Linked DNA regions of Arabidopsis thaliana. The protein of the gene in region 1 interacts with the protein of each later gene in a pairwise test. Each region holds a gene or a part of one and is shown in the gene's direction. Other genes may lie near its edges.

Evidence for each region.
Region 2: the proteins of AT2G44130 (region 1) and RR1 interact in a protein complementation assay, tested with the Arabidopsis thaliana proteins (one study listed by BioGRID).

What each region holds. Positions count from the first base shown.
Region 1 is NC_003071.7:18,251,673-18,255,924, forward strand, and holds AT2G44130 (Galactose oxidase/kelch repeat superfamily protein), read left to right. Parts: upstream 1-1,937; 5' UTR 1,938-2,058; coding exon 2,059-3,288; 3' UTR 3,289-3,382; downstream 3,383-4,252. Other genes in the region: AT2G44140 (Peptidase family C54 protein), read right to left, coding at 3,434-3,600, 3,681-3,751, 3,841-3,896, 4,044-4,182.
Region 2 is NC_003074.8:5,754,040-5,760,286, forward strand, and holds RR1 (response regulator 1), read left to right. Parts: upstream 1-1,781; 5' UTR 1,782-2,073; coding exon 2,074-2,260; intron 2,261-2,316; exon of another isoform or gene 2,317-2,675; intron 2,676-2,757; coding exon 2,758-2,910; intron 2,911-2,993; coding exon 2,994-3,434; intron 3,435-3,507; coding exon 3,508-3,584; intron 3,585-3,662; coding exon 3,663-4,808; coding exon of another isoform or gene 4,809-4,814; exon of another isoform or gene 4,815-5,031; coding exon 5,032-5,100; 3' UTR 5,101-5,404; downstream 5,405-6,247. Other genes in the region: COBL8 (COBRA-like protein 8 precursor), read right to left, coding at 5,604-6,247.

The sequences.
Region 1 (4,252 bases):
ATAGTTGCTTTTTTCTTGTCGAGCAAAAAGTTTCAAAAGATGTATCCATTGTTTCTTTGACTAACGCGACCTATTGATAGCCAATATTACCATTTAGGAATGAAAATGAATCGAAAGTACTCGTTTATATGCGAAACTACTACTACTATTCAAAGAAACTCTACGTTACTTTTTCTTGACACACGACAATAATTGGTGATGAATAAAGCTAGAAAAGCTGATAGAGAGAAAATACATAAGTAGAGAGTAATCAAAGAAAGGACAATTGACGAAACAAGAACAGACAATGTGGGGAAAATGGGATAGAGTGTAATGGACCAGCCCCCTATTAATGTTCGACCCCATTCTTATTATTTTCCTTCTTATCCCCGACTTTCATTTTTCTTCTTGTCTATCTATGTTCATATCGTGCGCTAACACCCAAATTAATCTTCTTCCCTTGAAACATGTTTTAAATAACGGCACAAATAGTAAGCGTAGATTCATAAATAACCCCAAAGTAAAACAACAGAAAGCATCATTAATTATCCGGTGGAGACGAGATGACTTGTGTGAGGCTGGAAGTCCGCGAGACATACCTTTACGTCGGTGCATCGCAGAATAGACGTGTCAACGTTTTAATATAATATGTTGAATAATCGAAGAGTAAGACCCAAGGATAGTTAATGCCAATGTATATCCATGAGAACTTCTTCTAGAAGACTATAATAAAGTAGAAACCTTTATAAAGTTATAATCAATCATAATATTATTGATGAATCTTATATTCAAACGAAACTGCCCTCGCAATTTTCTACGTAAAATAATACGTATTACAAAATTAAAAACACATGATGATATCTTACAACTTATAACAACTAAGCACAAATTTTTTGGCAAAACATAAAGAATCTATACATATGGACTATTCGTGAAAGAATTTGTTTGATAGTGCGTGCACATGCCAATATGAAATGAAAATGTCCATCATACATATTAATATACCTGTTTTAAATTGTAGTAAATTAGGGAGAAACAGTTCACGAGATGTTTACTTATCGGTTGACGGTTGCGTCAGTGAATACGACTCATTCCTTATTACTCCATATTATTTGTCTTTGCATAGCTTCTAGAAGCTTTTTGTTATTTCAAATAAAAAGTGATGGTAAAGACTAAAAAGCTCACTACTGGTCTTCGTGAACTTTATTATCAAGATGTCATAGATTCGGTTTCAATTGACACTGAAATGGAATAGTAATCTAGATATCTAGTTGATAAACTAGTTTAAAAAGTTATTAGTTCAAACTGTTTTTAAACTATAGACGCTATACAGTGGTAAAAGCGTTAAACAAAAAGTGCGGCGCAGTATACTGTCAATTTAATTTGTGATTATAATATACAATATTGTTACCTAACTTCACTTAACCAAGTAACCACTGACCTAACTTCAACTATTTGCCTTTACAATTTACATCATGAAACAACATGGACATTTCTTGAATTTTTGGTTGATATTCAAATAATCAAATTCTTATGGAGTATATGATTTACTCCACTGTTAGTTGTTCATTTTGTCCTTATGAAAGTCTTCTAGAAGCTTTCTACTTTTCCTGTTTTATGAAAAGATTGTTTTAACAAAAGCACCGTCTTCATGAACTAAACCAGTTGTTATAGATTCCATTTCAAAGTTTTATTCCTTATTAAGGAAATCGCATCAAAGTAACCCATGTGTTGACTCTTGCCTGTTTGGTGAGATTGAAAGGGAATGATTAAGAAATAAATTTTTAGATACGTTTGCGTTTTGCAACATACACGAATCTTGATTTTTTTCATACGCTGCTAAATCAAGTTTATAGGGGTTTTTAAAAATTTAAACGAACCGTCGCGTTATTTCAACCGCAAGCAAACTCATCCTCCTCTTTCCCTATTTAAAGGCTCTGCCACCTCTTTGTAGCTTCACACTCACTCAAATTTAAATCGCAACTTTCGTCAGTTTTTGTGTGTTTTCTTCTACACATAGACACTTTGCTCAATCAAACACACTCTCTGTTCTGTTTTTCTCAAACTTGTTTAAGTTCGATGACTATGGAAGTGTCGAAAAAGAAAGGTGGAGATTTTCAGCAATGTCACGAATTGATTCCCGGTTTACCTTCCGAACTAGCTTTGGAGTGTTTGGTCAGAGTTCCGTTCCAATTCCAATCCGCCATGAGATCCGTTTGCCGTTCTTGGCGTAGCTTACTCTCCGACTCTTCTTTTATCCAAGAACGGCGGAGATGCGGCAAAACAGAGCTTCTCCTCTGCCTCGTTCAACCGCTAACGCCGCCAATTCCAGCGTCTAAATCGGTTGACGAGACATTAATGGTTGACGAGAAAAAATCAGAGGATGAGTCACACCCGCGCGTTTTCTGCACGCCGCGTTTTGGATTGAGCGTTTACAACGCTGCGATGTCCACGTGGCATCGCGTTGCGTTTCCAGAGGAGGAGCAGATCCCGCTTTTCTGCGAGTGCGTCGTGCTTCAGGACGCCGGGAAGATTCTGCTCATCGGCGGTTGGGATCCGGAGACGTTACAGCCGACGAGAGACGTTTACGTTCTGGAATTCGCCGGAAGGAAGTGGAGACGAGGTGCGCCAATGAAGGAATCACGATCATTCTTCGCCTGCGCCTCCGTAAGTCCAACGAAGGTATACGTCGCCGGAGGTCACGACGATCAGAAAAACGCTTTACGCTCGGCGGAGGTGTACGACGTCGAGAAAGACGAGTGGTCGTCGGTTACTCCGATGACGGAAGGAAGAGACGAATGTCAAGGATTCGCCGTTGGTATGGGTCTAAGGTTTTGCGTGCTGAGCGGTTACGGAACGGAATCTCAAGGAAGATTCCGATCTGACGGAGAAATTTACGATCCAGCGACAGATTCATGGTCGAGAATCGACAACGTCTGGCGATTTCCAGATACTAGCCCGAGAGGTCGCACCGCCGGAGACTTTAGAAGCTCCTCTACGTTATGGTGTTTCACAGACACTGATTTACAGAGTGAACGTCGATGGGAAACTAACGATGATTCGAGAAATTTGAAACTGGATCTTCAATCTATACAGCTTCCGATGACAGGAAGCTCAGTTTTCGCCGGAAGCTTAGGAGGTGAATCGGTGGTAATGATTGGCGGTAAAAGAGAGAGTGAAGGTGAAGGTGAAGGAGGAGTGATGATGAAGATGACGACTGAGAAGAAAATGGGAAAATGGAGTCATCATGTTCATATACCTTGTGATTTCTCTACTCTTCCATTTTCGCATGCTTCAATCTATGTTTGAAAATCCCAAAAGATTTTATAGTACAACATTGTGTTCTGATCTGATGTAATATACACCAACACATATAAAAAACAAAGAACTGGTTAACAAAAGGAAAAAAAGAATTGTAGCTTGAGATTGTTAAAATGTTTGACGATGATCATGATCAGAGCATTTGCCAGTCATCTTCACGTTCATCCTCGCTGTCGTCATCCGCAAACCCGTAGTTGCTTTGGTTTATCGCTGTGTGGGTTTGAGTCACTGTGAACAATGGAGCACCGTTTGATTCCTCAGCTAGTTTCAATGCTCGGAGACAGAAATCGTCGAAATCATCTGTTGAAGATTAGGGAAAGGTTTTTTCAAGTTACAGAATTTAAAAACTTTTGGTTTCAGAGAATGTAGTAATACAATACCTTTGTCGCGGCAATAGAATCCTAGAGCTAGAGATGGGTCGAGTGATTCCAAAGGAACATAACGAAGGACACTGATGCAGATTCAAGATAAAATTAAGAAACAAGATAAAACTGAACCAGGCAAAAGTCGTCTGTGACATGATAATTTGAGGAGACTCACTTGCAATGATAGGAGGATGTGTCAACATCTGGTGTTTCCTTGTTGACTGTGACCACCTAAATCAATCATCAAACGATAAGTCTCAATCAGTATCCGACTTATCATGTGAAATGGCATCTTATCCGACTTAGGTACTATGGACCACCACAATGCCAGACCAAGATTTATGGACTCTAAAAAAATTCAGAGGCACGAAATGAAACCTGTTGAACTTCATGCGGATCAAGGTAGAAACCTTTGTCTTCTTGAACACCAACTATGTAAGTTGAGGCACCTGGTTTGCCACCCAAAATCCCCACGCTCTGAGGAAAAGTGAATGTGGCTACGAGAGATGGAATGTACCTGTCATCAGATTATAGCAATACGTCAGAAAGGTCAAGTACAAATACGAGTCGAGCATAACAGAGATAAT
Region 2 (6,247 bases), on another chromosome or scaffold:
CATTAAATGTTTTCATTTTATTCTTCGAAATATACACATGTACAGTATTTCCAAAAGAAAATACACTATAGTTGATAGTTCATAAAAATTAAAGAAATACTTAATTGATTTAATATTCGTATTGTTGAGTTTTCCTTCTAAATACTACAAGTAGTGAATTTTACTTGATAACATTGATTAATGTAAGAAATTAGGTATCGATGCACATATGAAACAAGTCGTATGTCACACTTAAAACTATCGTTAATTTGAAAAAGATAAGACATGTCGGCGGTGCTAAACAACTATTTAAGCAAAGTATACACTGAACTTGGATAACTTAGATATAGTTTACATTGAAGTTGACAAATTTACACATTTATAAATAAGTTACTGGTTTGTATGTGTTTATAAATATGTCGTAGAGCAATCGAATAGTCAAATATGATTTGTTATCCTATACATTATTAAAAATATACTTTCGGGGGAATAGGGCGATTGGTGGGTAGCATATGATGTTACTAATCATTCAGATGAACCATTTGCATTATTTCTTTGTTTATTTAGTATCCAACGTTTTAAGAGAAGAAGCGCACATGTTTTTTTTTGCACCATATACTGACTACTGTTGTTGTAAACTTGTAATTATACATACATATATATATATATATATATATATATATATGTTTTCAACAATCAAACGTACAATTTTTTTCTATTTTCCATTTAATACAATTTATTTCCTAGAACTACAAGTTGTTTTTGATTAAAACATGAAAAGTATACTATATAAGTTATATTCTTACTAATCATAGTTACACACGACTTGAAATAAATACATACTAAAAAATTTGGAAGGTTATATGTTTAATTTGCACCAAAAAAGGCATCGAGTAATCTTATGTTATGTATACATCATATATCTGGTTTTTTTTTGTTGATAAAAGTATATGTACTATATCTTAGCTAAAGATGTAGGTGATGATGGGAAATGCTTAGGTGTATTTTGGTACCTTAATCATATGCTTGAATGTGCGTAGACGTATTATTTTGTTTAATTTAATGATATGATTATATTTTTATTTTGCCGTTTAATTTAATACATGTAGGTCCAATAGACAGGAGGCATTGTTTCTCAATTACATAAATTCAAAGGGTAGTTTAGTAAATAAATTATAGGCATATCAAAACTAAGAATTTTTTATATATATATGCAGCTGCTCTTTTGTTTAAGGCAAATTCCTATTCGAAATTGGTAGAAAATGGAAATTAAAACAAAAAATTAGGAAACTAACAACAATAATACTAATGAAAATCTATTAAGGTTTGAGTTTGCAAACTTTACATATGACGAGTTAATTAATTTTTTCATGCATGAGCTGGATCCACGAATCAAGGGTCTTTGGTCCCACTTTCTTCCCAATTATATAAATTTCCTTACCCTATATTTCTTTCATTGATGATTCAACCCCTATATTTCACTACTTCACAAAATAACCCAGAATTTGAGCTCAAAGCAACATCCAAAATGTTCTTCTAAATAGAAAAATAAAACAGAATATAGAACAATAGTACATATAATATACAAAACTAACTTGTAAGAAATTGAGAATAAAAAAGAGAGTGGATCTAAATGAAATTTAATAAAACCAATAGTCTAAATGTAGAGAGAATGATGAAAATAAAGGACATGTCAGCTTCTACATATATGTAAATAAAAAATATATATGACTGAGTATATAAAAACCACATTTTTTTTTTCTTCTGCATCTAAATGTTACAAAAATTGAATAGGAAAAATTAAGAGAGCTTTACTCTGTGAATAAATAAAAAAACAGAGAAAAAGAGCTCTAAGGTGAGACAAGCCTTGTCTTCTTCAACTCCCTAAGTCTCATCTCACCATCTCTCTCTTCTTCTTTTTTTTGGTTACCCAGAAGAGATTCACTTCTATCTCCAACAATTTCGTATTCTCTCATAATATTCAATTTTAAATCGAATAAAACTCGCGTCAATTTCCCCTCTTTCTTTCTGGGTATATATTCTTTTCTGCTTTTCTTTTTTTGTTTCTTGGGTTCGAGCTACATAGAGAGAGGTATGATGAATCCGAGTCACGGAAGAGGACTCGGATCGGCTGGTGGGTCCAGCTCCGGTAGAAATCAAGGAGGTGGTGGTGAGACCGTCGTCGAGATGTTTCCTTCTGGTCTTCGAGTTCTTGTCGTTGACGATGACCCAACTTGTCTCATGATCTTAGAGAGGATGCTTAGGACTTGTCTTTACGAAGGTTCGTATCCAAAAACCAAGATCTTCTCTTTTCATTTTTTTTTTTTTTTTTTTGTTCGTTTAATCTCACGAGAGAGAGAGAGAGAGAGAGAGAAAGAGAGTTCATGGTCTCTTGCTCCAATGATGGGTTTATTTGTGGTCCATTCTCGAAAATTATGTTATTTTGAGGAATAATTATGGTTTTCATATCGGTGGTTGACTAACTTTGCTCCCCCTTTAATAGAAACCATTTTGGTTACTTTTTAAGATTCACATATTAATCTCGAGCTTCTTCATTTAGATCACACCATTTTGATCTACTGATAGATTCACATGTAGATCCATTGTATATAATAAGTTAGGGGAGGTTTCAAATGGATTCAAATCTTGAGTCTTTGATCTTTGACTTGAGTTTTGGTTAAATGTCAATTCATGAGGTCCTTGTTGTCAGAATTCAAATCTCTGTTTTTTTCTTTTATCTTTGAAGATATGAAACATTTTGGTTGTTATGACATGCAGTAACGAAATGCAACAGAGCAGAGATGGCATTGTCTCTGCTCCGGAAGAACAAACATGGATTCGATATAGTAATCAGTGATGTTCATATGCCTGACATGGACGGTTTCAAGCTTCTTGAGCATGTTGGTCTAGAGATGGACTTACCTGTTATCAGTAACGTTCTTTTTACTCCCTCAAATCTCATCTAAGTTTGAATCTTTTTTTATAGATTATTGATCTTGTATTCGTTTAACTAGTGATGTCTGCGGATGATTCAAAGAGTGTGGTTCTAAAGGGAGTAACGCACGGTGCGGTTGATTACCTTATCAAGCCTGTACGTATGGAGGCACTTAAGAACATATGGCAGCATGTAGTTAGGAAGAGGAGAAGTGAATGGAGTGTACCGGAACATTCTGGGAGCATTGAGGAGACTGGCGAGAGACAGCAGCAGCAACATAGAGGAGGTGGTGGTGGTGCAGCTGTTTCTGGTGGAGAGGATGCGGTGGATGATAACTCATCCTCGGTTAACGAAGGTAACAATTGGAGGAGCAGTTCACGGAAGAGGAAAGACGAGGAAGGAGAAGAGCAAGGAGATGATAAGGACGAAGATGCGTCGAATTTGAAGAAACCGCGTGTCGTCTGGTCTGTTGAATTGCATCAGCAGTTTGTTGCTGCTGTTAATCAGCTCGGCGTTGAGAGTAAGACTAAAACTTCTTACATTTGCATTTGTGATTGTTATGCTCAGGGTCTAAATGATCTTCTATGGCGCAGAGGCGGTTCCTAAAAAGATCTTAGAGCTGATGAATGTTCCTGGTCTAACCCGAGAAAACGTAGCAAGTCACCTCCAGGTATAAATCTTATACTGGATACCAAAATGAGCCATTGAAATGCTTAGATGTTCTTAGCGGCTTTATGTGGACTTGCAGAAATACCGGATATATCTAAGACGGCTTGGAGGGGTATCGCAGCACCAAGGCAATCTTAACAACTCGTTTATGACGGGTCAGGATGCGAGCTTCGGACCTCTTTCGACATTGAATGGGTTTGATCTTCAAGCACTAGCCGTCACAGGTCAGTTACCTGCACAGAGTCTTGCACAGCTTCAAGCCGCTGGTTTAGGCCGGCCTGCGATGGTCTCTAAGTCAGGTTTGCCGGTTTCCTCCATTGTGGATGAGAGAAGCATCTTCAGCTTTGACAACACGAAAACAAGATTTGGAGAAGGGCTTGGGCATCACGGGCAACAACCCCAACAGCAACCACAGATGAACTTACTTCACGGTGTCCCCACGGGTTTACAACAGCAGCTTCCTATGGGTAATCGAATGAGTATTCAACAACAGATTGCTGCTGTTCGAGCTGGAAATAGTGTTCAAAACAACGGAATGCTGATGCCTCTAGCGGGTCAGCAGTCTTTGCCTCGGGGACCACCGCCTATGCTAACCTCTTCGCAATCATCCATCAGGCAGCCGATGTTATCAAACCGCATTTCCGAGAGAAGTGGTTTCTCTGGAAGGAACAATATCCCCGAGAGCAGCAGAGTGTTACCGACAAGTTACACTAATCTCACAACACAACACTCATCAAGCTCGATGCCTTATAACAACTTCCAACCAGAACTTCCCGTGAACAGTTTCCCGCTGGCAAGTGCACCAGGGATATCAGTACCGGTTCGGAAAGCCACTTCTTACCAGGAAGAGGTTAACAGCTCCGAAGCGGGTTTCACTACGCCGAGCTACGACATGTTCACCACCAGACAGAATGATTGGGATCTGAGGAATATTGGAATAGCCTTTGACTCACATCAGGACTCAGAATCCGCTGCGTTTTCCGCTTCAGAAGCCTACTCTTCTTCGTCCATGTCAAGACACAACACGACAGTTGCAGCCACCGAGCATGGCCGAAACCACCAGCAGCCACCATCGGGAATGGTACAGCACCATCAGGTTTATGCAGACGGAAACGGTGGTTCAGTGAGGGTGAAATCAGAGAGAGTGGCTACGGATACAGCAACAATGGCGTTTCACGAGCAGTATAGTAATCAAGAAGATCTTATGAGCGCACTTCTTAAGCAGGTTTGATTTGATTTTTTTTTTTTTGTCAAACTTATATAGAAGCATAATCTGATCCGTCAACGTACATGTTTGCGTTCAAAATCAAATATATAACAACTCTCAGACGCTTTCTCACCATTGGTCGCATGTCTTTTTCATAATAATGCAAATTACAACTAAATAACAAAAAAAATCAGTGAACCAAAAAAGTTGAAAAACACAATCTTGAATTATTGATATACAGGAAGGGATTGCACCGGTTGATGGCGAATTCGACTTTGACGCATACTCCATCGATAACATTCCGGTTTGATTGGATAAAAAAACCGATAAACCGGAGGGACTACCCGGATCTGTACTGTATCATTTTTACACGACGATCTACTAAAACTTGTTTGATATATATGTAGTCTGCATGAAATTTTAAATGGCAGATTATATAAGAAATAATTATTCATGTTAGGGGTTAATATCCTTGGAGATTCTTTTGTTCCTCATTTATGTAGTGAGGCTGTTTAGGGTTTTGTAAGTATGTATTTCGAGTAAATGCTTAGAATAATTCGAACAAACTTAATTTAGTACAACGCCACAACGTGAAATCAAAGCAATTCAAGATCAAAACACAAAGGGATTTGTCTGTTCAATATTTGTATGTATACATACTGATTACTAAAATCTGATCATACGAAATTCAAGAATCACACGGTGCACAAAGCACCACTAGTAGTAGAAGTAATTCTGCATCAAATCTGGTTAGAAAGAATCAAGAAAACTGTATATTTTCTGGCTAATGAGGAAAGTCCTTCACTGGAACTTTTAAATCCGAAGAAACAGTAGAGCCAAAAATGGTGTCAGGATGAGAAGAAAGGTGGATACATGTTTCCTGTGACTGTTGCTCGTGGGTAGTACAGAAGGGAGTGAACATTCCTGGCCGTTGAAGAGTACTTTGGTGGGAAACCCATCTTTGGAACCAACTTTGATTCCAGGAGTCAGTTTCTTGGTGAAGGAGATAACCGACTGCTGTTTCCCGGGTATCCGAAAGTCTTCACTCGGGTTTTTTCCGTCTTTCTCTGCAAGGAGATAGTTCAGTCCAGGGAGCCCTTCCATTAAAACAGTTGTGTTCTTCCCGTTGACCGCGATGATACTTCCGTTAAACGAGTACGCTTTCTGAAAACCGGGTGCAGCATTTCTCAGTTCAACCGCGGTAAACCAATCCACGAAATCAGTATCACCCCAGTTGAAGAGTGTGACTCGAGCAGTCCATCCGCCTCGATAGTCTGTAGCTAGGTGCCAGTTTATGCTGACTCCACAGTTATCTCCACAAGGTAATGGGTCCGGGACTTTCCGGTTTTTTAACACTGCCCAAGCGTTGGTAAGTTTGGTTCGGTTGTCAAATGGAATTAGAAGAGCCTGATATGGAAGAGGAAGAGCTGGAGAAGTTGTGCTGCAAGTACGCGCCA